Stegostoma tigrinum: one gene and its partner. The protein of the gene in region 1 interacts with the protein of each later gene in a biochemical or structural test. Links are inferred from orthologs where the notes say so. Each region holds a gene or a part of one and is shown on either strand. Other genes may lie near its edges.

Region 1 (15,533 bases):
TGGGGCTTCCACAGAGATGTCCATCATTGATAAGATGTTTCACAGGATTGGATGCATAGATTAAGGGGAAAGGAACAATAACAATGTTGCATGTAATTATTGCAATGCAAAACGTGTAAAAATGCTGTATCCCACTGGTGAAATTAGTGTCATTGATCTGTCTTAAATCTGAACTGAATATTAAGACGGCAACTGGTTCCCACTTATAAGCCAGATTCAGAGTGATCTCTGGCTTCTCCCACACATGCGATAAAGAGCTTGAATAAAAATTGATTATACTTCTGAACGCAGAATTCAAGTCTGCTGTTTGACATCTCATCTCTGAACAAATTTTTAAAAAAACTTCTGCCTGGTCCTCCTGATCTTATCTTTCCTTAATCGTATCATTGTAAGATTCTCTGCCTTTTCCTGTTCTTGCAAATCATGAAACTTCTGCAAATTAGTTGATGCTTAAGACAGAATTTAACTGAGAGTAAAACATGTCAGGGATAACACCCTGAGATGTCAACAGAATAAGAAAAGACTGATGGCCCAGGGCCAGAAATTATGTGTGAATGAGTTAACAGCATTAAAGTTTTTAAGCCAAATTTTAAACATGGTGCTAAACATTTTATCACAGCCATCAAAATAAAGTATATCATTCCAGTGTGAAAAAAAATGTTGTCAATAATCCATCCAGGTCCATCTCTGAAAAGAGTATGAAGGAATACACTTTGGTAGGCCTCAGTGCAGTAGGTGGTGAAGAACTCTCAAAGAACACACCAGGCCAACATTCCTGAGTAGTTTGAGAAATTATGTAAACTTGGGGCACTGAGAACCGATAGGGGTTGGAACAAGGATAAGGAGCTGTTTGTACCTGCCAGTTATGCCAGCCATTCTGGACTGGTACTCAGAACTGTGTTATGTTCCATCTTGATTGAGCTATCAACTATCTCTTGAAAATCAAATGTAACACGGGCATTTGTGTAAGTTCTTAGCAGATATTACACCAACCTCAACGGATGTATATGAATGCACTAGTGTACCTGATTTTCTTTTTCATTGTCAAATAAGTTATGATCATATGATCCCCATTATGTATCAGTCTCTTTCTGGTATATATTCAGTGACTTGGCCTCCACAGCCTTCTGTGGTAGAGAATTCCACAGGTTCATCATTCTTTAAGTGAGAAAACCTTTTCTTATCTCAGTCCTAAAGGGCTACCCCATATCCTGAGACTGTGTCACTGATTCTAGACTCCCAAACCAGAAAAAAAATTCTCTCATATCTAGTCTATCAAACCCCGGTAGAATTTTGTACATTTCAATCAAATTCCCTCTTATCTTCTGAAACTCCCGTGAGTTCAGACCCAATTGAACCAGTTTCTCCTCATAAAACAGGCCTGCCATCCCCAGTATTAGTCTAGTGACTCTTTGCTGCACTCACTCTTAGTATATCCTCTGTTAGGAAGGGAGAGCAAAACTAAGTGCAATAGAGTCATAGAGTTGAACAGCAATAGAAGCAGACCCTTTGGTCTAACTCATCCATGCCAATCAGATATTCTAAATGAATCTGGTGTCTTTGTCAGCATTTCACCCCATTCCCTCTAAAGCCTTCCTATTCATATACCCATCCAGATGTTGTTTAAATGTTGTAATTGTACCAGCTTCCACCACTTCCTCTGCCAGCTCATTTCTTACGTGCAGCACCCTCTGCATGAATAAGTTGACCTTCAGGCCCCTTTTAAATCTTTCCCCTTTCACCTTAAACGCATGCCTTCTAGTTTTGGCTTCCCCTACCGTGGGGAAATGATCTTCACCGTTCACCCTTAGCGCACTCCTCATGATTTTATAAACATTTTTAAAGTCACCCCTCAGGTCCAGGATGATCTCACCAAGATCCTTTGCAGCTGCATTAAGACACCCCCAATTCTGAACTCAAATGCTCTTGTAATCAAGGCCAATATGCCATTTGCCTTCCTAATTGCTTGCTGTTTTCCCTGACTACTTTCATTGACTGGTTTACAAAGACATCCGGATCTCTTTTTCCATCCACATTTCCCAAAGTATCATAAATTAAATAAGACTGTTCCTTTCTGTATTTCACACCAAAATGCATAACTTCACACTTACCCATATTGCTTGTCCACGCACTCAACTTGTCTAGATCATTTTGAAGCCTTTTTACATTTCTCTCACAACTCATAATCCTGCTTGCTCCTTCATGTCCTCAACCAGCATCCCCAAAACCTCCACATATAGTGATTGCCTGCAGTCCCCCTCCACGGGATTTGGCATCAGACATGGATGAGCCTTACAATATCATCATGGCATATCTCCTACACTCTGAAGTGCAGTGCTGCAATTCAGAGTGCATCAGCTCTGTGCATTTAATGTTGCTGCTTGGCTGCAGTGCAGTGCAGTACCTCGCATGCAGTGGCAGGTACTCATCTCATGAATTGGAGCAGGATGCAACTTTGGGCTCTTCATTTGTTCTCTTAGTGCTCACCCACTCTGCACCTACTTGGATTCTCACAGTATCCCTGCATTGCCTTTTTGCGCATTGCCACATCATTCAAAAGTCACAGACTCACAGTACTTCTGACTTATCTTGATGTTTAGTGCAGACATAAAGCCAGGCAGTCTGTCATAGTTGTCAGCAGCGATCAGTTAAGGGGGTGAGCATGTTGCTTTATGGTACATATTACATCAATATTACACTTACAGCACATGCCAGTAGCCGACACAATACCAAATGGCCATTCTCAAATTCTACTGGTCATCAATCAGGTCAAGGGGGATTGGCGTCGCTCAGGGGAACCAGCATAGTCAGAGCTTTGTCCAATATCATCATTTGACACAGTCAGTCAGGTGCTTAGGGAAGTCAGAAGTTCCATGTCATTATAATCTGGGCTTTGGGTTATGGTCAGTGTGACCAGACAAGGGATTAGTTCTATGCTAGCATAGTGCACCATAGATATCAATTGAAGTCCAGTCACTCATTAGCCAGGGGTCTGGCATTGTGCTAAGGTTGGCAAGTCTGTGTAGCTTAGCTCTTTTGGCTGCACATACAGTGACAGCCAATCAGGTAAGTGATGATGTAAAATCAAAACATAGAATCATCATAGAATCCCACAGTGTGGAAACAGGCCATTCAGCGCAACAAGTCCACACAGACAATTCCACCTCAACACATCCCCTAACCGTATCTCATACCTAACACACCTAACCTACACATCCCTGAATACTATGGACAATTTAGCGTGGCCGATCCACCCAACCTCCCCATCTTTGGACTGTAGGAGGAAACCAAAGCACGCAATGGAAACTCACACAGACATGCAGAGAATGTGCAAACTCCACACAATCAGTCGCCCAAGGCTGGAATCGAACATGTATATGAATGTGAGCTTCTATTTACTAGGAGTGTCACCTGTGCCACCTATGTGCCTGCTATGTTTACTGTAAAGGGCTATTTGTGGCTGGAGGTAATTGACTTGATGCTGAGTAGGCTTTAAACATGGTGCAGGTGGCAGAAATCTTGGAAGTTCCTGACAGTGGTAAGTACTTCTGCTGTTGGCGATGTAACACAGCACGAGAATGGTGTCAGCGAGGCCATGATGTGATATTGAGCCATATCTAATGAGATGAGCAGAAGACAGTTGCACGAAAAATCTCACTTGAGCTCATGGCATAAAGCCCTGAAAGAAATTCCCCAGAATTTATGCTTGACTGATATATGGTAAACTGTAGCCCAGTGTGTTCCAGACAAACCACTGAGATGGTCATTGTTGCCTAGGATATACAAGAAAAATGTTAAGATCAAAATCAGGAACTTCATTGCAGTCATTGACCTGAACAAAGGATTTTATTCATTCAATTGTAAGGTTCTGTGGATTGTTCTCCAGGGATTTTGTTGTCCAATAAAACTTCATTACAATCTTGCAACTGCTTCAAATACAACTGCAACCATCTTTGGGAAGAGATCTGAAGCAGACATGTTGAAAATCTGTGCTGGGTCAGGCAAGGCTTTGCTTTAGCCCCATACAATCTACAATCTCCCTGAAAGAGATTACTCAACTCATCAAAGATCTGCTGCCCTCTGCTGTGGGCATTAAATACAACTTAGTTCAAATCTTTTTTAACCTCAGTCACCTCCATGCCAAAACCAAACTGACCACCACAGCCACATACAACTTACAATATGAAGATTAACATCACGTTATTGCTCACTTTATCCTAGATTTGCAAGACATTCTTAATCTTTTCAAATCTGAAAACAAGAGACATGGTCTGTCCTTGAATGTAATGAGAAAGAAAACTCATATTAACCCAGACCTGGCCTGTCAAATATTTCACCTCCCACATGTATTGAAGAAGAGACTCTGTAATATCTTGAGCTACACCTTGGTAACAACCACTACCGAAATGGCCGTAATTGACAAGATCAGCTGCACCACTCAGCCTTCCACGAAAATGGCACTGAAGACTTGACTTCAAAGGCCTGCACAAGTCAACAAAAGTGCTAGTGTACAGAGCAATATCACCAGTCTACAGAAGTCTTGTGATACCTGGACTGTGTGTTAGCAATATGTAGGAGTTGAGAATCTCAATTAGCAATGCCTCCGCCACACTGTCTGGATTCAGTGGGCAGACAGTCAAACAAAGACTACTGTCCTTCTTCAGATCAGCTTTACTAGCAATTCTGGCAAATCTCTTTCAAAGCCAACTGTGATAGATTAGATACAGTGGCTGGATGTGTGAAAAGCATCTCCTCTGTCAGATCATGCTTTCTCAATTATCAAATAGCCAGCGTTTCAAGGGAGGGCAAACAAAATGCTACAGACGGACTTGTAATTTCTTCTGGAAATGTGGCAGCTTTGACATTAATGACTGAGAGAAGTTTCCTTTCAATAGTTTAAAATGGTGCCAACTTTTTCATCAAGTAACTTCATACTTTTTATTCAACCATCTTATTCATGTGGCAAAGTGATGGCAGAGCTGGAAAGAAAAGGAAGCAATTCCTGCATTCTAAATCCCAGTACGTAATGAGATACCCTGTTGCATTTGCCAAAGACCAATGCGGCAAGAATTGACCTGTTCCCTTTACAAAATTGCAGGAATTTGTGACCCTGAGTCAAAATTGTTCTAAAATCAAAGTATAGCTGACAAATATTGTATAACTAAAATGCAAAGCAGCTTATCAGTAGTTGTGATAATATGCTATAGATGGTAATAGTTAAAATATTGTATCCTCAAACACACCAGAGTGACACCACAAAAATACGCCACCACTATACTAAAGGTCTTGCTTAAAGCACCTAATCTTTGCAAGTGTAAAATTTACCTCTTGTAACATTGTTTTTTTTGTGATGTTTATTATTTCTGTTCCTTGCTCTGGCCTGAGAGGCTACTGGTTCAGAAATCTGTTGCACCTTGGAAGTCTGCAGACTGGAACTTTCATTAAGTCACCCATTTCCCTCACCCCTACACTTCATAATTACTGTTTCCCAATATGTAGTCAGGAAATAGAATGAAAGTACAAAATGCACTTTAATCTACCAAAAACCAGTGCTTCTATTATTAAATCTTGACACTCTCTGTCTCAAAACAATAACATAAATCAATTATATGGAACTCTGGCTGCAAAGCACAAATACAATAAATGAATAATACCATAGCTGACCAACAATTTAATAATTAAGCATTAACGGATATGGCTGCAAGCAATAGCCCAATGAACTCAAGATAACAACGTGTGAAGCTGGATGAACACAGCAGGCCAAGCAGCATCTCAGGAGCACAAAAGCTGACGTTTCGGGCCCAGACCCTTCATCAGAGAGGGTCTGAAGGGTCTAGGCCTGAAATGTCAGCTTTTGTGCTCCTGAGATGCTGCTTGGCCTGCTGTGTTCATCCGGCTTCACACTTTGTTATCTTGGATTCTCCAGCATCTACAGTTCCCACTATCACCAGCCCAATGAACTCAACCTGATTTAACTCAATCCAATTTCATGTCACAAAATTTAAGTGACTAAGTAGAATTATCAACAAATAAGGTGAATAAATAGATAATTAAATATGAATGCTTGATTCAAAAAGCATAACATCAAGGGAAGCAATCGATTTACTGTCTTTCCTGATACTTTCTTCCATTTCATTTGCTGAATTTGGTCTCCATGAATCATCCAAATCCTTATGTCCTCCTTTATTGCTGAGGTGTAAGTTTCTTTACAAATAAAGAGAAACCAATGCAGAGATTGCCAAAAGTGCACTGCTACCTTTTTGTGTGGTCAATGTATGTAATTTTTCAAACTGCCAAGTACTGCCTGAGATAGACATGTGTGGTGGGGTTACCTATTAGTGGGAACTAAAACTTGTAACTTGCAAACACTAAGGGACAAGTGGCAGATTATGGGCAACATGATTATATACTTTGAAATGCCTATATTTCTGACTGTTGACAAGCTTCATGAGGACCGAAAAGGCAGAAGGGAAAATTAGGGTGAAAAATGAAAGAAGCAATGTTGGCCGATCATTGGTGCGGCACAAAATTTCTGTTTTATGTGAGATTACATCATGCAGAAAGAAACAAGTACGTACTGTGAAGTTGGTAGAATAAACAATTTGCAAAGTTCTTCTCCCTGAATGTAATGGATCAACAGTTAAAGTTCAATCTTCTGAAGTCACTTATTGTAGCTTAAAGCTTCAATATTAATTCAAGTTGTCTATATCTCCTTACTTGTCAATTTAATACACTACATTGTAAATCTGCACTTCCCAGTCACGAACCATTTTAACTCCCCCTCCCATTCCTCAGATGACATGTCCATCATGGGCCTCCTGCAGTGCCACAATGATGCCACCCAAAGGTTGCAGGAACAGCAACTCATATTCCGCTTGGGAACCCTGCAGCCCAATGGTATCAATGTGAACTTCACCAGCTTCAAAATCTCCCCTTCCCCACTGCATCCCAAAACCAGCCCATTTCTTCCCCTCCCCCAACTGCATCCCAAAACCCGCCCAGCTCGACCCCTCCCCCACTGCATCCCAAAACCAGCCCAGCCTGTCTCCGCTTCCCTAACCTGTTCTTCCTCTCACCCATTCCTTCCTCCCACCACCAGCCGCACCTCCATTTCCTACCTACCACCTCATCCCGCCCCCTTGACCTGTCTGTCCTCCCTGGACTGGCCTATCCCCTCCCTACCTCCTCACCTATACTCTCCTCTCTACCTATCTTCTTTTCTCTTCATCTTCAGTCCGCCTCCCCCCTCTCCCTATTTATTCCAGTTCCCTTTCCCCATCCCCCTCTCTGATGAAGGGTCTAGACCCGAAATGTCAGCTTTTGTACTCCTGAGATGCTGCTTGGCCTGCTGTGTCCATCTAGCTCCACACTTCGTTATCTCGGCTTCTCCAGCATCTGCAGTTTCCATTATCATTGTAAATCTATCTTTTTTCAAAAGAAGGAGGCTTTGCAGAACACCTACACTCAGTTCGCAACAAACAACTACACCTCCCAGTCGCGAACCATTTCAACTCCCCCCCACTCCCCTTCTTGGACGACATGTCCAGCCTGGGCCTCCTGCATCGTTACAATGACGCCACCTGAAAGATGCAGGAACAGCATCAGGTATCAATGTGGACTTCACAAGTTTCAAAATCTCCCCTCCCCTGACCACATGCCAAAACCAGCCCAGCTAGTCCCCGCCTGATTTCAGAAATCAGCTGAATATTATTTAAATGGAGAAAGACTTCAGAAAGCTTCAGATCGGAGGGATTTGGGGTCCTTGTGTATAAATCATAAAGAGCTACTGTACATGTTCAGCAGTTAATCGCCAAAACAAATGGAATGGTGACCTTTATTTCAAAAGGAATGGAGTAAAAAAAAAGGAAGTCTTCTTTAAGCTATACCAGACACTAATTAGATTACATCTGGAATACCTAGAATAGTTTAAGGCCTTTATCCAAGAAAAGGTATATTGCTATTGTAGACAGTCCAGAGAAAGTTTGCAAAGTTGCTTCGACATATGAAGGGATTGCCTGTTGAAGGGAGCTTGAATGGTTTGGGCCTGTACTCAGTGAGGTTTAGAAAAATGAAAGGTGATCTTAGTGCAACTTGGAAGATTTTCAGGAAATTTGGCTGAGTGGATGTGGAGAGGCTGTTTTCCCCTTTGAGAGAGTTTAGTATTAGAAAGCGAACTCTCAGAGGAAGGGGTCACCCAATTAAGACAGAGCAGGAATTTGTTGTCTCAAAGGGTCATGAATCTGTGGAATTCTTTACCACAGAAGGCTGTAAGCTGTGTCATTGAATATATTCAAGACTGAGATTGTCTGATTTTTAATCAGTTAGGGAATCTAAGGTGAGGGGGAGAACGACAGGAAAGGGAATTGAGGATTATCAGGTCAGCTATGATCTTGACAAATGGCAGAGTAGACTCCAATGATCTGAATGGCCTACTGCCACTCCTATGTCTTATGATCATATAAACTACAATTTCAACTTTATGTGGTTTAACCTTGGCAAGCTAAAAATCTTATTACTATTTGCTAAAACAAAATTAAGGAGCAATTTAAATTGCAGTATAATAATTTGAAATTTGTGATGTTGGGACATCAGGAACCAATTTAACTCGGTGAGGAGATGGGCAATGAAGGTGTGGGATAATACAATGTTGATCATGAGATTCATGTGAGTTCTCAAGTGAGAACTGATTCAAAACAAAATTGAAGCAGAATTAGATTACATCTTACGTACAATCCTATTTGAAATCTTAGGTAGTTTATTGATTCCAGTTTAAGTGTAACACTCTGTGAAACCTAAATTTACAGCACTGATATTGTTGACAAAAAATTATTTATACTTAGTTCTTCATCATGGATGATCCCTGGAATGGTAGGTTTAACATATGATGAATGGCTAAGGATCCTGGGATTGTACTCATTAGAGTTTAGAAGGTTGAGGGGAGATCTAATAGAAACTTACAAGATAATGTATGGTTTAGAAGGGGTGGACGCTAGGAAATTGTTTCTGTCAGGCGGGGAGACCAGGACCTGTGGGCACAGCCTTAAAATTAGAGGGGGTAAATTTAAAACTAAAATGAGACAACACTTCTTCAGCCAGAGAGTGGTGGGCTTGTGGAATTCATTGCCGCCGAGTGCAGTGGAGGCCGGGACGTTGGATGCCTTCAAGGCAGAGATCGACAAATTCTTGATCTCAAAAGGAATCAAGGGCTACGGGGACAGTGCAGGGAAGTGGTATTGAAATGCCCATCAGGCATGATTTAAATGGTGGAGTGGACTTGATGGGCCGAATGGCCTTACTTCCGCTCCTATGTCTTATGGTCTTATCTATTGCTCTCTGCATACGTGAGCGAGGAAGATTCCAGAATGCCAGACGAGAGAAGGCGAATATTTTGTTGAGATTAAACTTCATTAAACTTTCTAACTAATGAACTGATTTGAATTGTAGTCATTATTGACACATAGGAAGACCGAAAAGCCAAGAACTTCCGTGTACGTACACTTCACACACACTACCATATGGATCTTCTCGACAATTTTGGTAAGATACCACGATATCAAACAGTTCCCTGTGACTTTAAATCGGCCAGGCAGAAGAGACTCCTTGCCTCTGGATGGCGCGGTTGCCCACTTAGCGAGAGGTTTTTTCTTTTTCCGGGTTAGATGGTCTGAGTCATTTGGGTGAGCACGTTGTAATCAGGGTGATAGAATCGCCGACAGTGGAACAAAAGGCTAGCGGAAGTCTGAGGACTGCAACATTCTGGGGAATAAAGGGCTGTGGAACGCTGAGGTCTGCAACATTCTGGGGAATAAAGGACTGTGGAACGCTGAGGTCTGCAACATTCGAGGGGGAAGGATAAAGGATTGTGGAATTTTAAGACGGAACGTTCGGACGGACAGACAGATAGACAGACATTCTAAGAACTTCACGGCGGGAGCACCGTGAGCTGCTCGTGGGCTTTCTGTTGAGGTTGAAGCGGCCTCCCCGGAGCACGGGCTGAGCAATCCTCATTCTTATTAAGTGTGCTGCAGTAGTGCAGTCGGTTATCATTAATAGAAGGTAATGCATTCTAAAGATATCAGCACCACACTGACTTCACTGGTGCAGAAGAGTAAACTTGGGGCAGAGTTGTGATTTTAATCACGCCAAAGTATTGAGTGCAACAGTCACGTGCGGTGTCTCGGTGTTTATATGTCTTCTATGCGCGGCCGAAATAGTAGTTATGCAGCTATGTCGGTAAATTTGGCACGATCCGATCTAGCTGCTACGTTGATGCAATCCAGAGTGTTTTGAAATTAACTCATGACGTTTTGACATGTATGATGTCAAATTGACTATTAGTATTTGTGCTTGGAGTGCAAAATTGTCAAGAATTCTATGAGGCTTCATGTTGGTATGAAGTATGAGTAGGGCTGCGATTCTTTCATTATAGCTATATTCACCTGATCTCGCGGTTTGCCTGGACCTTGGGACGATATTGATCAACAACCCGTAAAAGAGTATCCTTCCTTACTTCAAGCATAGTGCAGCATTGGAGAATATCAGCATAATATGCCTGTACAAATACTAAGGTAACAAGGTGTGGAGCTGAATGAACACAGCAGGCCCAGCAGCATCAGAAGAGCAGGAAGGCTGACGTTTCGGGCCTGGACTCTTCTTCAGAAATCATTTCTGAAGCAGGGTCAAGGCCCGAAACGTCAACCTTCTTGCTCCTCTGATGCTGCTTGGCCTGCTGTGTTTATCCAGCTTTACACCTTGTTATCTCAGATGCTCCAGCACCTGCAGTTTCTACTATCTTTGGTACAAACACTGGTTGTCCCTTCATTTTTAAGACACAACGTTAGTATTTGGATCCAACACTTTATTTTGAAGAACACGAATGGGAGTGGATCAAATAATCCTCAATCTCTCTGTGCCATTTGATTAGGTCCTGGTTTATGTTTTGTCATTTTCTTGTTTAACCTTGTACTCTTAGATTTTTGTAAACTAAAGAAATCAATTGATCTCTGTCTTTAACATACGCGAAGACTGAGCATCCACAATTGCATTGTGAGTATTCTGGTTTTTCAGATGGCGGCACCTATTCGGATGTGGCATAAAAAAGATCCTTTATATTGGGGAGGTAATGATTGAGAAATCTTCAAAGATTGTTATTTCCCAAGTAACAGTTTGCTGTTGTATAGGTACAAAATTAAAAAAAGAGTGAATTGTTTTAATATGTTCAGTCTTTGATCTGCTCAGGACCCAGATTTGACAAGATGCATTATGATGCCTTGCTTTAGAAATGTGACAATATTTTCCTTGAATCCACTGCATTAGGTCTCCAGATTTTCTGTTACAGTTGCTTTTGGAAGCATTTTGAGTGTTTGGTTCGGAAATCAAACTTTCACCTACTTTGGTTCACTTCTACTTTGGATCACACACCTTGTGATAGTTTGACTGCTGGAGTTCTTCTTGAAGGTACGGGGAGTGAATGCAGATGACCCTAGATAGAAGCATGCCCCTTCAACTAAGTAATGGCCTTTGTAGTTTTTTTCTGAGAGAAGGTTTGAAGAGGCTGTTACTGCAGAGTACCAGTCAAATTTCACAGTTCAAGTTTTTCTCAAGATATACAGAGAAATATTTCTGTGAATGTGGGTGAGCAGTCAGGTGGAAAGAGACTTCTCATGACAGCTACATGAGTTTCATAAATTTGCAATCTGAGCTAATGTCCCCTTGTTCCCTCCAGCCTACCTAACTCATAATTTAACAGTCTGGTCTTCATTGCTTAAGATTTCAAGTGCGGTCTGTTCCTGTGTTTTAGAGTTTTCCATGTGAACGGTGTTGAGTGACTAAAATGTCACACTTAACTGTAGAATAAGCACTAATGCTGACCTAACTCGTATTTCAAGTGCACCCGACTGCCCTTGCATTTGACCCAATGATAGTTCTTCATTGCCTTAGGAGAACCGGAAACAGGCTGAGGAAGAGAACCTGTTTCCCAGCTGGTACAGAATTATCAGCTTAATAACTTGGCCAAGATGGAATGAATGAAAGACGTCAGTTGATGAGTTCTGTCCTGCCCTTTTGTTCTCTTGAGCTGTAATTTTGTAATTTTAAGAGTAGGTGAAATTAAGAGCAATATTAAGTAGGAGATCACCCAGGTTAAAAAGAAGGCAGATTGATTTAGGATGTTGAGTGTCAGCTTCAATTTCAAAAAGATCCGAGTCCTAGGAGGCCCGATGGAGAATGTGAGTTGTTGCAGTTGGAGCTGCTAGAACAAAGATCTGTTTCTGCAGGAACACTCCCTGGACCCCACCGTATATAATGACCATGATGCTGTTCTAAATTAATTTAGTCTGCCTGCTCATGATCCATATCCTTCTATTCCCTGCTTGATGTCAGAATGCATCTGAGTCATTGCTATCAACTCTGCCTGTGCCACCTCCCCCCACCTCGAGGCACCCACCACACTTTCTTTTAAAACAAAAACTTGCCTTGCACATCTTCAGAAGTTTCCCCTCTCACCTTAAACCTACTGGCCCCAATATTCAACACTTCCACCCCCCCCTTAACAAAAACATCCCAAATCTGTCTGACCTCTCTTCACAGCTAATAAACTCCAATACAAACAGCATCCTGGTAAACTCCCTTGTACCTTCCACATCCTATAATATGGTGACCAGACCGGTACTCCAAATGGCCTGATACAGCTGCAACATGATTTACCAACTTTTATACTCAACACCCTGACCGCTGAAAGGCATTTCTAAACTAAAAACCTTTTGCCTTGACTTGGTCCGCATTTCTCTCGTCTGCCTATTCCTGTATCAATGAAGATGCCTCTTAAATGTTACCGTTACATCTGCTCCTACTACCGCTGGCAGTGCATTCCAGGCATTTATCACCCTCTGTATTTTTTAAAAAGAAACCTTATTCACTAGATGTGGGGGTCACTGTCTGGCCAGCATTTTTGTCCATCTCTCTGCCCTTGAGACTATGGTGATGAGTGGCCTTCTCAAATCACTGCATCCAAGTGCTGTAGATTAACTGACAATACCATTAGGGAAGGAATTCTAGGATTTTGACCCTTGCTTCTTGCATCTCCTTTAACTTTATCCTTTTCGCCTTAAATCTTTGTTCCCTAGTCATGGCACTTCTTCCCTGGGGAGAAAAAGATTCTGGCTATCCATCCCCCTCAAAATTTTGTTAATTTCTTTCAGGTCTTCCCTTAGCCTCTTGATGTTCAAGTGAAAACAAACCAGTTTGCCCAAACTCTCCTCATAGCTAATACCCGCCAAACCAGGCAACATCCTTGTAAACTGTGGCTGTACCCTGTCCAAGGCCTCCACATCTTCCTTGTAGTCTGGCGTCCAGAGTTGTGTGCAGTATTCCAAATGTGACCTAACTGAAGTTCTAAGCAGCTGCAACATGACATGCTAATTTTTATGCACTTTGCCTCAACTAGTTGAAGGCAAGCATGCCTGATCCCTTCTTGACCACCTTATCGACTTGTGTTGTCACTTTCTGGGAACTGTGTACCTGTACACACAGATCCCTGTTTGTTCATGATTGTAAGTGTTCTGGCGTTTACCCCTCCGCCCCACAATCCCAAACCTTGCATTCGACCTTCCAATTTGCATCACCCAGCATGTTCCAAATTAAATTCCATCTGGCAATGTTCCTCAACATCAGCAGCTCCTGCATTCTTTGTGTCATCTGCAGGCTTACTAATCAGATCACACTTGTTCTCCCCCCACATAATCTTATATGTAGTACAAGCAGAGGCCCCAGCATTAATCTGTGCAGAGCACCACTGGTCTCACATCTCCAGTTGGAAAAACATCATTCCACCACTACTGTTTTCTATGACCAAGCCAATTCTGTATCCATCCGTCACTGTTTCCATGTGACTTCACCTTCTTAATTAGCCTACAATGAAGGACCTTATTCAAGGTTTTGCTAAAGTCCATGTAGTCAACATCCACTGCCCTGCTGCCTTCAGTTATCCTCTTTACTTCCTCAAAAAAGTCAGTCAGGTTGGCGATTTGATAACCTTAATGCTTTTCAGATGTCCACTTTTTTCATAGCAACATGCTCCAGGATATCAACATACCCCTCTTTCCATCCACCATGTCCTCCTTTGTGAGTACCAATGCGAAGTATTCGTTAAGGTTTTCACCTGCTTCCTCTGGCACCACACATATATTCCCTCTTTTGTCCTTGAGTATATCTACCCTTTCCCTAACTACCCTCTCACTCCTCATATGTATGAAGTGTCTTGGGATTTTCCTTAATCCTTTTTGCCAAGGATGTACCATGGCCCCTTTAGCGCTCCTAACTCTTTGTTTGAGTTGTTCAATTTCTCTTGTCATCCAAGGTTCCCAAATCTTGCTAGCCTTATCCTTCATTTTCACAGGAACGTGCCGGTCCTGAACTTCAATCAACTGGCTTTGAAAAGATTCCCACGTGCATGATGTGGATGAGCCTTCAAACATCCACTCTAAATCACCAATCCCCAGTTTCTGCCTCGTACTGTCATTGTTAATCTTATCCCAGTTTCATGCTTTCACCCAAAGACTGATCTTATCTGTAAGTACCTGAAGAAATGCTGAGTTATGGTCACTATTCGCGAAATGTCCCCATACTGAAAGCACGTAACAAATTCCAACTACCCCCACCCCCGAAAAAAGAGGTGTCCCTGGCTCTGACGAAGTCCCAATCAGTATAAGGAAAGTTAAAATCACCCACTATAACAACCCTGTGTTAGTTCCACATTTTTCGATTGTCTCTTCCTATGTACTCTGCCGGCTGTTGGGAGGCCTGTAATAGAACTGTATCATGAATTGTTATTTAGGAAGTTTATTTGTCTGAGCCAAAGAAAGAACAGAAGAAAATTGAGAGGACTATCAATCACAGCAGGTTTTTGAAAACTCGAGAGACTAGTCATTTGAGGAGCGTTGGGAACCTGGTGTTGTGCAGAACCTGGACCAGTTTGTAACTCCATGACCCTAGTGTAAACAGAAGGAAGAGATGGGTTCATAAGCAGTTTGGACTTAGTAAATTGATAGCAGGGATTGGGGACTCTAGCTCTTGAGATATTGGAGAGGTTAAAATTGTACTCCCTGAAGCTAAAAGGATTAACAGTTGGTAACCAGAAGGTACAGATTTAAGAATTTGAAAAAGAATTAAAAGGTAGTTGAAAGTTTATTTTCCTTGGTTATTATTCTGATCCAGAATGCACTGCCTGAAAGGTTGGTATAAACAGTTAAATAAGGACCGTCAAATAGGATTTAGATAAATACTTTGAAGGGGAATGAATAGATGGAATATAGAGAAACTGGAGGGAATTCGGATGCATTACATGTCTGTGCCAACTCCTCAGAGCTAAGAGAGGTTGAATGACCTGTTGCACTGTATGATTAAGTTTTCTTGGGCCTTTTGGCAATCGAGTAGTTAATCATCCGGTGTCTATTACATCAGCCATTGACTCCTCCATTGAAGCTGTGATAATTTCCAAATGGTGCTCTTTTGCTTCTGTAAGATTTATGATTTAT
Region 2 (15,311 bases), on another chromosome or scaffold:
TAGTTTCACTGTTTTTGTCTGTGGTTCGATTAGAAAATCAGTCTCCTGCTGGATACTCTGGAAGCATAATAAAGAGTGATGACTTAAGTCCCATTAGTATAAATACACTGTCCACAATTAAGAGTACAACAAATTACCCTACATAATACAGCAGCTGCCATCTGTATCAAGTCAACTACAATGCACAAGTTCTGGTATTTTGAAATAAAATCAGAAAATGCTGGAATTACCTGGCAGTTCCAATCTGGGGAACACAAACTCAAACAGTCTACAGCCTTTTTTGTTCATTATAGAGTTCAACCATTTCAAATTGTATCTTTGCCCTCAAATTTGCTTCTGTTCTCGTATTAGTTTTGGTTATTTCTTTATTTGTTCCTATGCGTTTGGATAGCAGTAATGTAAGCATTCACACCTCACCTGAACACATGCTCCTTTACTATACCCATCCCCTGGACATCATTATGATTTACAATCTTTCCTGCCTCCAGATTATCCTTTCTCCTGCTTTACACTTTTAGGTTTTGCATTTCAAACTTCTACCTATTCTCAATTCTGATTAAGCTCTCAAGCTATAAAAAAGCTAAATGCATCAATGACATTTTCTCAAGAACATGAGTGGATAGTCAGTGACATTGGCAAGGCTATTTATGATTGACTACAATAGGCAAATGAATCACAGCCCTTCAGATAGCCTTTGCATTGAAACTATAAAAAAGGTGCAGAAATCTCATCATTTGAGCTGATATGTCACTGTAAAAAGTTTCATTTTCCGCATGCCATTTCTCAGAATGCAAGGTTAGAGGACAAAAATCTAATATTAGCATCAGTTATTTATCATTAATAAATGGTTTTTTTAGAGGTCTAATGACAGGAAAAATTACAAATTCAACAACTCCAACAAAGGAGGGCAGCAAAAATCAGGAAACTACAGACTAATTAGCCTAGTGTCTGTCATTAGCAAAATGCTGAAATTCATCTTTAAGCATGTAGTAGCCGTAAATTCAGTACATCGTGTCAATTCTCCTTCAAAGAGCACTTTAAGGAAGAAAAAGCAAAATGGGGAATGATATGATGCATCTGTTTTTCCAAGGGGCGTGAAATACATGTGCCATGTAAAATCTTAAAATATTGGGGGCAATACCAGCATGGTTAGAAGATTGGCTAACTGGCATAAATTGAAATTTGGATCAATGCGTCATAGCTAAGCTAGCAAGACGCATTAGAAATTGGCATCTCAACTACAAACAAGATTAATATTTCTGACTAGAGGTCTGCTTTTATCGAGTCACGTTTTCTGACTGTAAAAAGCATGCAATGAATAAAATCAAGTTTGTAATGGGATGAGTTAATTATGTGGGTCAAGCATTGATAGATTGAGAATCATATAGGAGATGTGAAATTGGCTGCTCTGGTGCAAAAAAATAGAAAAGCAGGACATTATTTAAATGGACACATTCATTAACCTTAGCAGCATCAGTTAACACACACTGTCATCACATGACATCACAAAAGTAATGATTGGAAATACATCAATAATAGAAGGGAGGCCCAACCCAGCTCTCCGAGAACACTCCACACCACTGGTCAGCAAAAACAGAAGGGCCGGATCTCCCTCTCCCCCTCCCTTCCCTCCCCCAAAAACCACTCCCTCACAGAGTTTAACGCTTCCTGCAGCAACTTGGACACCGGCTTTACCCTAATGGTGATACCATATCATTTGGGTACAATCACTCCACAATTAAAAGCACACAATGTCATGGTACAAAGAAACCAAAGTTATACTTATGCATGGATCCCCAAGTTGGCTCACAGGCTCAGCCAATAGGTGGGATGTGCAAGTAGTGGAGGAAATGCAGGCAGTGCATCTAATTGATTTCTAAGAAGGGTTGTCTCATGAGGAAAAATCAAGCACATTGAGCTTTGAGTCAATATGGAGTTTAGAAGAACAAGAGGTGGTCTTATTGAGATACAAGTTGGGACTTGACAGTGTAGAAACTGAGAAAGTCATGGGGAATCTGGAATTAAGAGAATTTCAAATTTATTCATCGAGAGATTAAAAATGAAGAGAAATTTGTTCTCAGTGGATTGTTAATGTCGAATTCTCTACTACACAGAAATGGAAGTTCGCTCATCAGATACATCCAAGATTGACTTAAGATGTATTTTTGATCATCAGGGAATCAAGAGTCACAGGGCACAATCAGATCACTCTTATTGAACTGCTGGGCAGAATGGAGGGGCCAAACAGACCACTAATGAGCCCATAAGATGCAAAAGAAAAGTGGGCCATTCATCCTTCAAGTTCTTCATCATTCAATGAGATGACCTGAAAAATCTTCAACTCAACTGAATACAGGAGTTGGGAAGTCAGGTTGAGGTTGTACAGGACATTGTACAGGCCTCATCTGAAATACTGTGTCCATTTCTGGTCACCAAGTTATAGAAGGATATTATTTAGCCAGAGAGGGGTCAGAACAGATTTACCAGGGTGTGGCAAGGTATGGAAAGTCTGAGTTGTCAAGAAAGGCTGGGACTTTTCCATGGGAGCACAACAGGTTGAGAGATGACCTTACAGAAGTTTATAAAATCTTGTGGGCTGGGATAGGTTTAATGGTAAATGTCTTTTCCCTAGAACAGGGGGAATTTCAAGACTGGGGGCACACTTGTAAGTGAGAGGAGAGAGATTTTAAAAAAAAGACAACCAGCAATTTGTTTTTTTTTTAAAAAGACAGAGAATGATTCCTGTGTGAAATGAACTTCCTGAGGAAGTGATGGATGTGGGCATAATTACTATGTTCAAAAGATATTTCAATAAGTGTTTGCAACGGTTTGGAGAGATATGGGCCAGGAGTAGGCAGGTGGGACTATTTAGTTTCGGATTATGTTCGGCATAGACTGGTTGCGCCAAAGGATTGGTTTCCATGCTGAATGACTATGGCTGTCCTGCCTTTACTCAAATCCTTGATTCCCTCACTAAAAGTATCTTTCCTTGTCTTGACTATTTTTAATGGCCCAGTCCACTGTGGTGAAGAATTCCAGATTCACTACCCTCACAAAACAACCTCTCGAGAGCAACTGTCAAGAAACATTTACTGGCAAAGGAGTCACCTCTTATTCTTCTAACTCCAGTGCGTGCAGGCCCCAAGCTGACTGAACCTCTCCCCTTTATGAAATGTCTCCATACTCAAAATGCCAATCTAGTGACCTTTTTCTGGACTGCCTTCAATGCCAACGCATCTTTCCTCCGATTACAGCATCCAAACTTGAGCCCAATATTCTAGGTGTAGTCTAACCAGTCGCTGGCATTGTTTCGCCAAACTTCCCTACATTTATACTCCATTCTCTTTGATGGACAGACCACAATTTCATTTTCCTTCCCCATTACTGGCTGAATTTGTATTCAAGTGTTTTTGTGATTAATGCAGGAGTGGCCCTAAATCCCAGTGCTGCCCTCCCTGTATTTCTCCTTTTCAAAATATTCAATATGTTTCTTTCCAAAAATGCACAACCTCATTGTATAATATCGGTAAGTTTCTGCACTCACTTAATATGTCAACTTATCTCTACAGACCTTTTTTCTTTCATCATTAATGGGATGAGGGTGTCGTTGGTTAGACTGCCATTAATTGCCATCCCTAACTGCCCAGAGGGCAGTTCAGACTCAACCACATGGCTGTTGCTCTGGAGTCACAGGTAGACCAGACAAGGTAAGGATGGCAATTTCCTTCCCTAAAGGACATTATTGATAATGGATTCGTGGTCATCATTAGATTCTTAATTCCAGATATTTCACTGAATTCAAATTCCATCATCTGCCATGGTGGGATTTAAACCCGGCTCCCAGAATTTTATCTGGGTCTCTGGATTGCCTGTCCAGTAATAATGCCACTAGGCCATCACCTCCCTTTGTGTGTCATCAAAATCATTAACAGATTGTAAACGGTGGTCCCAGCACTGATCCCTGTGATAGTTATAGTTTGACATCCTTAAAATCCTTATCTCAACACTATCTTCAATTTGTTAGGCAATCTTTGATTCATGCTAATGTACTACTCACTACCATGGGCACTAAGCATCATGAAAGAATTCAAGTAAATGTCAGGCATGCCTCTATTTGAATTTAGTATGTATTTCTAAATATGTTTCTACTACGCACGTTAAAATAAACTTTTCCCAATTACATATGTTAATCCAACTACCTACAGTTATCTGGCTTTGTCTCCATTCCTTTTATGCTGGAAATGTTGGAAAACTGCCAATCTCACCCAGGACACTTCCAGAATCTAAGCACTGTTGGAATTTTACTGCCAGTGCCTCCAACGTTTCTGTAGCTCCTTCCTTTAACATCTGAGATTGCTACCCATCACATCCAGGGAATTTAATCGGCTTTCAGACCCATGGATTTCCCTTCCAACAGAGATTGCATTAATGTCACCTCCAAGGCTGCTCCCACATTTTGCTCCTTGCTTCACTTCTTGGACAATTTCAGACAGTAGTAGGAATTCATTTTTGCACTCAATGCTAGATATGAAAATAAAATTATTACCCCAATTCCTTCTCCATTTTTCTTCCTTTGCTTCTTCTGTTTTTTAATAGATGCTGCAAACAACAAACAGGGATGGTTAGAATCCCTCAATAAACTGAAGATTCAAGTCATTGGATGTACTCCCACATTGGAATATTTCAAACAGTAAAAACACCGTACCAAAACGCATGCACTTATTAACAGTTTTTTTAAACACTTTCAGACAATCAAAAGCAAGTTACTATCTGTTGCCATATGGTTGTTTCCTCAGACATAATGCAGTAGGTTCAGTACACAAGCAAAATCAATGCTGCTGGCCAAGGAATCCAAGGTAGGTGAACAGAAGGCTAGAAGAACACAACAAGCCAGGCAGCATCTGAAGGAAAGGAAAAGTCAACATTCTGGATAATACCCTTCTTCCACGACTCATGTCCAAGGGAGGCAGAAAACATCTTCAAAATGGGTATCCTTTGAAGGGACTTTGCAGTGGTATAAACTTAGTTAGAGACAAAAAAAACTGCAAATGCTGTAATCCAAGGTAGGCAATCAAGAGGGTAATACCCGAAACTTGACCTCTCTTTTCCTCCAGATGCTGTCTGGCTTGCTCTGTTCTTCCCGCCTCTTGTTTGTCTACATTAATTAACCAGCTAGAGTTTACATTAAGTGAATTCTGGACTCGTTATAGAAGGCTAATATGAATTCAATCACGGGGCAGAAAATGATGCTCATGAAATTCGTGTGTAAGATAATAATGCACATTATGATTGAAATCGCCTGTCTAACTGCTACGGCATTTAATCTCAGAAGGCAGCTTGCCAACCGCGTACTTGTAGTTGTGAAATGGAAATGGAATCTGTGGCTGGAAACTCGTGGCGACGACAAACAGCAAACCGAACTGCCAGGCCCGGCGCCAAACGTGGGGACCACGTGTTCGGCGCCGATTAGCGCCAGGTGCCTGTTCCCATCCATCCAGAGTCCAGGGCAATGCTGGCGATATCCCCCAGCCACCAGGAAACCACCGACATTCAAAGCAAACACCAAAAGTGGGGGAGGGAGTTGCTGCGAGTTACAAGGGGCGCGAAAACCGTCTCCCCTCTACAGGCCGCGGCCTCTACCTCCCTCCCGGCAGTAAGCAATGCCCTGAAGCCGCCGTGACTCCGGCTTCACTCTCTCTCTCTCTCTCCCCTCAAACAAGTCTGCAAATTACAGATCGTTCTCTGCAGCCGCCGTATTAATTCTGACTCCTTACCCCCACCCCGGACAAACAATGCCCTTTACCATCTCCACCCGCCATCTTCTCGCTCCGATCGCCAAGTGAAGAAACGCGCTCCACTCCGCGCAAGCCAATTAAACACCCGCCCCACAATGCACTACTGCGCGCATGTCAATTATAAGGGGGGGATGGCGGAGGATGGAAGACGGCGCATGCCCAGTCTATAAGAAGAGCCTGTTAATGGTGGAAAATCTGAAATATAGCTACCCGCTAAAAATATAGAAATATTCGGAAGGGCAGGATTTTGACCCTATTGTCGGAACGGTAAAGTGTTAGTATACACGTTTCTATACACATTTACGAAAAGGGGGGGGAATATTAAAAGTCAGTGATCAGCTGGAAGCAGGAGAAATTAGAAGACGAATGATGGTGCATAGTAAATGAAATCAGACATAAAAACAAGATCAGTCTAACGGAGACGTAAATGGGATTAGCATGATTATCACCGAATGCTCCTGGATAAAATACATGCAGTATTTATAGAATCGTAGAATTTCCAACAGTGGAAGCAGGGCAAACGGCCCATCGAGTCCACAACGACCCTACGACGAGCATCCACCCAGACTCACCTCGCTACCCTACATTTCCCATAGCTAATTCACCCAGGCTGCACATTTGTGGAGACTATGGGCAGTTTAGCATGGTCAGTCCACCTAATCTGCACAGCGTTGGACTGTGGGAGGAAACCGGAGCTCCTGGAGGAAAAGCATGCAGACAAGAGACAATGTGAAAAACCACACAGTCACCCGAAGGTGGAATCAAATTCAGGTCCCTGGTGCTGTGAGACAGCATAGCTGACCACTGAGCCATTGTGCCACACATTATGATCAATCTGCTGAACTCAAGAGGGAAGAAGGTTGTAAAGTGTCTCAATATTTGAACTGGTATTTCTTAAACTTGGGTTGGCTCATTAAATACCCAAGTTCAGAGAGATCAGAAGGGAATGGGGAAGGGAAATTATTTCTGCAGTCCAGACTTGACAGAAGTTTTCTAAGGACTCCCCATTTGGTTCCAGATCTACCTCTACAGATAATTTAAATCAATTTATTGCTAATTTGGGATATGAGGAAGGGTGCTTGTAGTGCTGAATCCCTATCACTGAGCCAGGAAACCTAGGTTCAAGTCTCACCTGTTCTGGAAGTGTGTAATAACATTTCTGAATAGGTTGATTATGTCATTATTATATCAGAGGCACCATCCCATACCTTTATTCTTCCTTAACTAGCACAAGACAGAGTCAGAAATCACCACTTGAATTAGAGTGTGCGCATATACTTGTATATCAGTCTATCCAAACAGCATTCAATCTCAGCCCATGAACTGCACTCTGCTTGATAACAACAGACAAGAGAAGCAAAGAGTTCATTCTGCTGCTAACATTAGTCTCAGCATCATGAGCCTCAATTTTGCAGCAATCATGTCTGTGCCAGTTATCAAAACCCTTCAACTTCTGTATGCTATGGTGTTTTAAAGTGATCATCAAAATACTTCTGAAATATTGTGGTAATTTGTGCAGCTGCCATGTGCTTAGAGACTGAGTTGCAGACAGCTTCTGCTTGAAAAAAACTTCCTTAAATCCCTCTAAACCTCTTGCCCCTTTCTTGAAATCTATGCACTGTTGTTCTTGATTCTTCTCGAATGTAGAAGTTTTGTGTATTTAATGATGCTCAATTTTGTCCAACTCAGTCAGATTCCCTTTCAGACTTCTCTGGTCGTCATCTCTACCTGAGTCCACACAGACTTTTCACTGTACTAAAGTGTGTTGTGAAAAGTGTATTATGTCACCAGAGGTAAAGCCATCTTAGGTACAAAAAAAAAACTTAGAGTTGAAAAGTTAACCATTACCTTCATCAAGTAGAAAAATAAATCTAATAGTTTAAATTTTAAAAAGACTTTAATGTTAACTAGAAAATAAGGAATTAGGTTAGAAGTTCTTATAAACTCCAGTCACAATTTATTAACCTTAGTGACTGCCAACCATCTTCAGCATAACTACCAACTTTGGCAAGAGTCTCCATTTTTGTCCACTTGTGCTGAAGTTAACCTGACATGCACTTGCAATAGATACTTCTACATCTCAACAGAATTAGTACTCAGCACCAGCATAAGTTTCACATTAAAGTATGAAAGAAAGACATGTTCAGTTGAAATGTTTTGTGTAGAGAAATGGCCGAGTGGCTTTTACATAGAGAAAAATGATTGTGCTTCATTACAGAGGGGCCGTAGAAGCAAAGAAATTGAGAACTCTAGAAAATACCACATTGAAAATGTTTTGAGGTTTCATCCTGAAGTGACATTTGGGGCCTTGGGGATCCATGGGGCTACACAGCACTGTTTTCCCCCTCTTGCTCAAATGGACAATATTAACAACTTTGTCTCCAATTTCTACCTCCTTCCCGTTCACAAGGTTCATCTCAACCCTTTCCCTTTCTCAATTTTTAAATTTCTATTTCCTCAAATAAATTACTGACCAATATTCACCATTATGCCACTGGTCTCATACAGGTATCTCAAGTACCTTTCCTCCCACCCCAAACGAGGAGCTGTTATTCCATTTTTCCATTCTTTATGTTTTTATTTCACCATTTTAGAATTTAGACAGGAGCAACAGGAATCCACTCAGCCCCTTTATTCTGCACAGTCAGCCATGAATAGCATACCTGATCTTTGCATCTCGATCAGCTGTGTTGAATGAACTTATCCTCAGCAATCTATGAAATGATGAGTTTATAAAATTTCAGAAGATTCACAACTCTTCATAAAAGAGTGAAGAAATTTCTCCATCCTAACTGTTAGCTCCGTAAGACAAGATCGTGAAGGCCCCTCATTCTAAATTCCCCAACCAGAGGTAAAAACATCCTCCAAACATGTACATTGAATGTTTAACATTCTTAAAGAAACTTAACATCGAGGTACATGCAAACAAAGGGGTAGGCAATTCAACTCAGATCTTGACTGCCATTTCATAAGATTATGTCTAATCTTATTGTCATCTCAAATCCACATGCCCTTCTATTTATGATAACCTTTCACTCTTTTGCTTCACGAGAATCTATCATCTCTGCTTTAAAAATATTAACAGCACTGCTTTCACTGCCTTCCTGAGCTGGTAATTAAAAAAGACGTGACTTCCTTAAAAAAAAATTGGCTCATCTGTTTTAAATGGGAATAAGTTAATTTCTAAACAGTGACACCTAGTTCTGGAGCAACTCTTTCTTCTAAACTGCAGGTATATGGTCTGTTTGTTCTCGGTTAATCCTGAGAGATCACTGGTCTGTTTTTTTGTTCAACATAGAAAGTAGGAGATAGAATAGCCCATTTGCCCCCTCGAGTCTGCTCCATCATTCATTTTGATCATAACTGATCATTCAACTCAATACTGTATGTTCTCCCCACCACTCCCTGTATGCCCAAGTGCAATATGCAATTCGTTTTTAAACTTGTACAATGTTTTGGGCTCAACAGCTTCCTGCAGTAACAGATTCCACAGGCTTTTTACTCTTTGGGTGATGAAATTTCTCCTCGTCCAAGTACTAAATGGTTTACCCCATATCCTTAGACTCTGATCCTTGCTTCTGGACTTCAAAAGCATCAGGAACATTCTTTCTGCATCTACTATGTTTAGTCCTGTTAGAATCTTAAGATTCTATGAGATCACCCCTGAACTCCAGCAAATACAATCCAACTGATTCAACCTCTCCTCATATTAGTCCTGCCATTCATATGGTGAGCTTTCACTGCCCTCCATCTAAAGCAAGAGCATATTCCCCAGACAGGGAGGCCAAAACTGCATATAATATTCCTGATGGGGTCTCACCAAGGCCCTGTACAATTGCTGCAAGACTTCTCTGCTGCTGTGCTCAAAACCTTTTGTTCTAAAGGCTAACATATGATCTGCCTTCTTTACTGCTGGTTGCCTCTGCGTGTTTACCTTCTGTGACTGGTCTATGAGGACAAGCAGGTCACATTCCCTTGTTCAGTTCATAGCCATATTAAAGCTATCCCATCTTCCAAGGCCAGTTTAAAAGTATTTTTAAAATCAACATGTTCATATATATGAAATGTCTAGGGCTGTTAGGATTTGGACAATCCTTCTGGCTCAGAGATAGGCACTCTACAGCTGCGCAATAAGACCCTCTCCCAAGGCACATATACCTTTCCTAACAAATTGTACAGAACATTCATGTACAATTGTACTGCTCATTACCAATGAGCTGAATGGTTGTAGTAGATTTATTTATTTTTGCATTCCAATCCATTTATAGACTAGCAATATTTGCATATCTACATTATTTTCTGTACCTAAAAAGTTCATTTCGTGACTCATGCACAAGAACATGCAGCTTCCTCTAAATGCAATATTTCTCAGTCTCTTACAATTCTAAATATTTCATTTTTTTCTTGAAATGAATAGCTTTGATTTATTCACATTACATTCCATTTGTCATATTCTTGCCCCTCACTTAACATGTCTATAAGCACATTTATCTCTCTCACAACTTGCAAAAGTAAGTAATTTTGTAAAGTCAACAGACTTTATGCATTGCTTTGATGCTCCACAACACATTCTTATGGATTTAAGTAGTTGATGACCTGATCCATACAGCATCCTATTAGTTACAGCCTGCCAAAAATGAAAATAATCTATTTATTCCTGTACTTTGTCTGTTAAACAATCTTCAAATCATTGCCAAAATATTACTCAATCCCCTAGGCCCCATTTGTAGTAAAGATGTGATATATTTTATTGTACGCTTTCTGAAAGTTTAGAAGATTAACATTCTGTAGTTCCCTGAACATACATTATTGCAACCTCAAAAAGTTTACAATATTTCTGATAAAACTGTTTAATTTCATAAGTTTACATCCACTCTACCCAAACATATGATAGAACATTGCTAGTAATGGATCCTAGCATTTTCCCGACTATGGTGTCAAACTAATTGACCTATTCAATTTTCTGTTTCTCCTCCCTTTTGAATAGCTGTGTTTACAACCGAGATTTAGAATCCTCACAACTTCCTTATATCACATTTAAAAACTGTGTCTCAGAAAAAAGTTTCCTCATTGCCAGAAATGTATGGGTGGAGCTTTATTTAGGTATTAATTCAAAACATTCTAATATCCAGAAATGATCTGTATAAAGCATGGAACATAAATATTATTCAGAGGTTGCATGACACAGGTTTATAGTCCAACAGGTTTATTTGAATCTCTACCTGATGGAGCAGCACTGCAAAAGCTAAAGACTTCAATAAACTTTCAAATAAACCTGTTGAGACTATAACCTGGTGTCATGTGACTTCTGACTTTGTTCACCCCAGTCCAACATCAACACTTCCACATCGTGAATGTTACTATGCTTTTACTAGGCTTTGCATAAAACATTATCCATAATAGTGCAGTTGTTAACAGTCATATAAAGTGATTATGGGAGGAAAAGCCCAGTTACATATTAGCAAGCAACTGCCAAGTTCAAATTTAAGCACTATAAACTATAAATACTCTTAAACTAAACAATATTGAATGTAGAGAGCATGCTTTTGATCTTGTTGTTCAAGTTGACCACTCTAGTCTTTCACAAATGGTTCTGATCACAATTTCTTTGGCAACTGTATACAATGAATTTCACTTTACATAATTGGAATAATAAACTTCATTAATCCATTAGGAGGAGGGTGGGTCAAAATGAAAAAAGCAGTAGTTGAAAGATAATAATAATAAAGATTTAAAACTAACATTATGGTTCAGCTGGGCAAACTAAATATAATTTGTAAAACTGTCTGATTCAATGAATATATAGTTCATGATCTTTTAAGTTTCTCTAGAAATCTAAAATTCAGATACATGTCAAAACTCTGAAGTCAACAAATTGTATAAGAAGTTCAGAAATTTGTTTTTCAAATCTCGATCCCAAGGAATCTTGCGGTGTTCAGTACATCATCTCTCATCAGGTAACAGCCACACAGACGACGGTATCCAGTAAATGCATCACGTCCATGAAGGACTCTCCAATTATCAACAAATAAAACCTATAGTAGATGCAAGCATTCATTTAAAATGTTACAATTTTAGTACATATGTATCAATTTTTACTTCCCAGTGAGAAACAACAACTACAAAACAATAAGACCATAAGACATATATGAGTTGAAGTAAGGCCATTCGGCCCATCAAGTCCACTCCGCCATTTAATCATGGCTGACGGGCATTTCAACTCCACTTACCTGCACTCTCCCCGCAGCCCTTAATTCCTTGTGAGATCAAGGATTTATCAATCTCTGCCTTTGATGAATAGCATTGTTCTTTCATCACAAACAATTATTTCAAAGACTGACGTAGAGAAGCATTCAAAATCCAAAAACAATTTTGGTATATAGCTCATTGGTACTCTACTTATGAAAGTCCTTTAACTCTCTTTGCCTCAAATAGATCACTGTGAAAATGTACAAAGTAACACCTGAGACTCACCTGCTCTTAGGACAACTAGATATCACATCCAACAGGCAGTGACTGAGATAAGTGGCTGTTCAAATGTAAAACACCATCTTAAGCAGCTCTACATAATTTACAATTGTAAACGGGTTGAGCTTTTCAAAACTTCAACCATTAAAATCACTAAATGAACCTTTACATGCAGATGAAAGTTTGACTTTTTCCTTAAAAATGCTCTTAATGTAGGTTGTGAAAGTACAAACTTTAACATAAACAAAAGGCAGATGGGTAAGAAACATCTAGCAAAAAATTACAAGAGCAGCAGGAATAACAGTTTGCTTGCTACAACGTTTATAACACTTCTGCTCAACCAGAGCATTTACAGAATAGTAAACTTAACTTAAAAACTTCACAACTGCACAAGTTGGAATCAACATTCATCATGGATTAGGCATAAAATGTTATACACAATATGCTATATCTTGTGTCCACAAAGCTCTTTGTTGGACATGCCTCTTCTAGAGATGAATGACTTGGCAGTGAAATGAGGTACGTCCAGAAGAATTTCCATATATCAGAAATAATTCCACGTAGGTATGTTACACATCTCCATACATATATAATTCTAATCTGAACTGTGCAGAATTTGTCAAAGTTTAGAGTCAATAGATGGTGACGTTACGTTCAATAAGTGGATTGAACATACTTATACAGGTGATGTGTAAATAATTGTTCTGATATGTAGCTGAGTGAGATGTGAAATAATTTATAACTTAAAATGTTTTCATCCACAACAGAATGGATGACTACTGTTAGCTGCATGAAAGCTGTCATGTTCTGTGATCACTTAAACCATCATGAATCTATAGTCGCCTGCCATTTCAATAAACTACTGTGTTCCTGTGCCAACACTTTGGTCTCAGATTTGCTGTTCTGTTCTGAAGAAATGTTAATCCTGTTTTCTCTCCAAAGATGCTGCTGAGTTTCTTCAGCAATGTCTGATTGTTTATTACAGATCCAAGATTCAGTCACTTGCTCAAATTGTAGTCCGTTACTACAGTTCCAGGTGGGTAAGTGGATCTTGCACTAAAACTAACTCTCTCAGTCCCTTTGGAAAGTACTTGGTTTTTCAAAGTATCAATTTGTCTCGCAAAAGGAAGCAATTCTACCAATTCAAGCAAATGAATACAGTGGCTTAATTGACATATGGTACCTGCTAGCCATTTGATATGAAACTGCAATGTTTAAGGGCTCTTGTGGCACACGGTAATGTCCCTGTCTCTGAACCAGAAGGCCTGGTTCAGATGATTGATATCACATATGTAATAACATCCCCAGAGTATGTTTATGTAAAATATCTACAGTCAGCAGTATTCAAAAGGCATTTTTTGCCCTGTAACTGCAGCATAGATAAATCATATTTACCACCCACTCAACACCCAAACCGCAGGATGATTTACCTCCTTACCTTTCCAGGTTTGAGTTTCACCCAGATTTCATTTTCTGGTTTTCTGAGTTCTGTCGTAAGGGCTCGATGTGCAACATACCATTGATGAACAACATCATGAGGCACTGTGCTTATAACGGTTCGGTCATAATTGTTATACCTGTTGACAAAGCAAAACGTTAGAAAGATGGTGCTGATGAGATTTGAAACAAAGGAGCTCAAATCACGCTAACAAAAGGAGCTGTTCCTAGAAGAGAAATCACGGGGTGATTTGGTTCAAGTTTCAAGTTACAAATAGAGGTGGGGACATGCAAAGTAGAAAACAGACTATTCCCAGTAGTTGAGGAGTCTAAAAGGGAACCAAAAGTAAATTGAAGTGTTGCAATAAGAGGAGTCTCATGATTAAAAGCAAGACATCTGGAGTTATGCAGGTAAACCTTTTGTTGCAAGAGTATCTTACTGGAAGTTAATACTTTACAGGATGTATTAACATTGAAGGCAAAGCTAAAGTCCTGGGGGCAAGAAATACAACTTTCTGCTTGTGGAGAACAAGGAGCAACATTGTTTTAGAGATACTAAGCTCATTATATGCTGAAATTTCTTGAAAACTAAAAGCAGATTCTCTCAATTATCTTGAGAAAATACACAGGGCATAGCACTAAGCCACTTTGTTTAAGAAGTTTCAACAGAAAGGAAGAGGAAGAGAAAGAGATCACAGAATTGTTAAGGCAGTGAGGTAGTGTCTGTGATAATAAAATGTGAGGCTGGATGAACACAGCAGGCCAAGCAGCATCTCAGGAGCACAACTGGTTCTCCAAATGCGCATCTCCATGCCACTCTCTTCCTTTCCTCACGTAACTTGAACATTATTCCTTTTCAAATATGTCTATTTCCCTTCAAAGGCCTTAACTAAACATGTCTTAAGAGTCTGGCATTGCATTCGAGACTCGAACCAGCTTCTTCCCTGTTATTAGTCTGATGAATGGACTGTCTGACTCCAAATAATGTTGATCTTGTTAATGTTGTTCTTGCCTAGAGTAAATTCTACAGGGCATAACCTGAATGCCTCACTCTGTCCAAGTTTTTTTTCACCCTATGATCTGCTTGTACTGCTCACAAACAAAGCTTTTCACTGTACTTGGTACATGATTTGATTTATTGTTACAATCAACCAACCAGTCATTGAAAGACAAAAAGATTTTGCTCATATTTTACTCACTACATTAAATTTGAGCCATTTGATTCTTTCAGGAGTGGGAACATTTTCTAGTCATCTTTGTTCAGATCTCATAACTTTGAATACTTCCAGGAGATCATCTCTCAGTCTTTTCTTGAAGGCCTTTTCCAATCTATCTTCATCACTGAAATAATTCTCAAACCTCTTCTGCATCCCACCCAATGCATCCACATCTTTTGTAAAAATGTGGCACCTGAATCAGGATGCAATTCTCCAGATGAAGGTGAACGAATACCTTGTGTAAATTTAACATAACCACTTTGTACTCTATCCCCCCCATTAACACTTACAGTACTGTTTTATTAACTGCACTCTCAAACAGTAACATATGCACATATACATAAGCTCCAACTGCTCCTGTACTCCTTTTGAGTTCCACCATTGTCCCTCATCA

Evidence for each region.
Region 2: the proteins of shq1 (region 1) and dkc1 are reported together in a solved structure, tested with the Homo sapiens proteins (2 studies listed by BioGRID, with this or other methods). The link is inferred for Stegostoma tigrinum from reciprocal best matches to the Homo sapiens genes SHQ1 and DKC1.

The regions. Positions count from the first base shown.
Region 1 is NC_081364.1:39,852,821-39,868,353, forward strand, and holds the start of shq1 (protein SHQ1 homolog), read left to right. Parts: upstream 1-9,672; 5' UTR 9,673-10,056; intron 10,057-11,363; exon of another isoform or gene 11,364-11,457; intron 11,458-15,533. UniProt on the Homo sapiens protein: Required for the quantitative accumulation of H/ACA ribonucleoproteins (RNPs), including telomerase, probably through the stabilization of DKC1, from the time of its synthesis until its association with NOP10, NHP2, and NAF1 at the nascent H/ACA RNA.
Region 2 is NC_081368.1:49,356,525-49,371,835, reverse strand, and holds the start of dkc1 (H/ACA ribonucleoprotein complex subunit DKC1), read right to left. Parts: upstream 5,909-15,311; 5' UTR 5,820-5,908; coding exon 5,804-5,819; intron 4,600-5,803; coding exon 4,547-4,599; intron 58-4,546; coding exon 1-57. Other genes in the region: tmlhe (trimethyllysine dioxygenase, mitochondrial), read right to left, coding at 11,699-11,830, 13,702-13,840.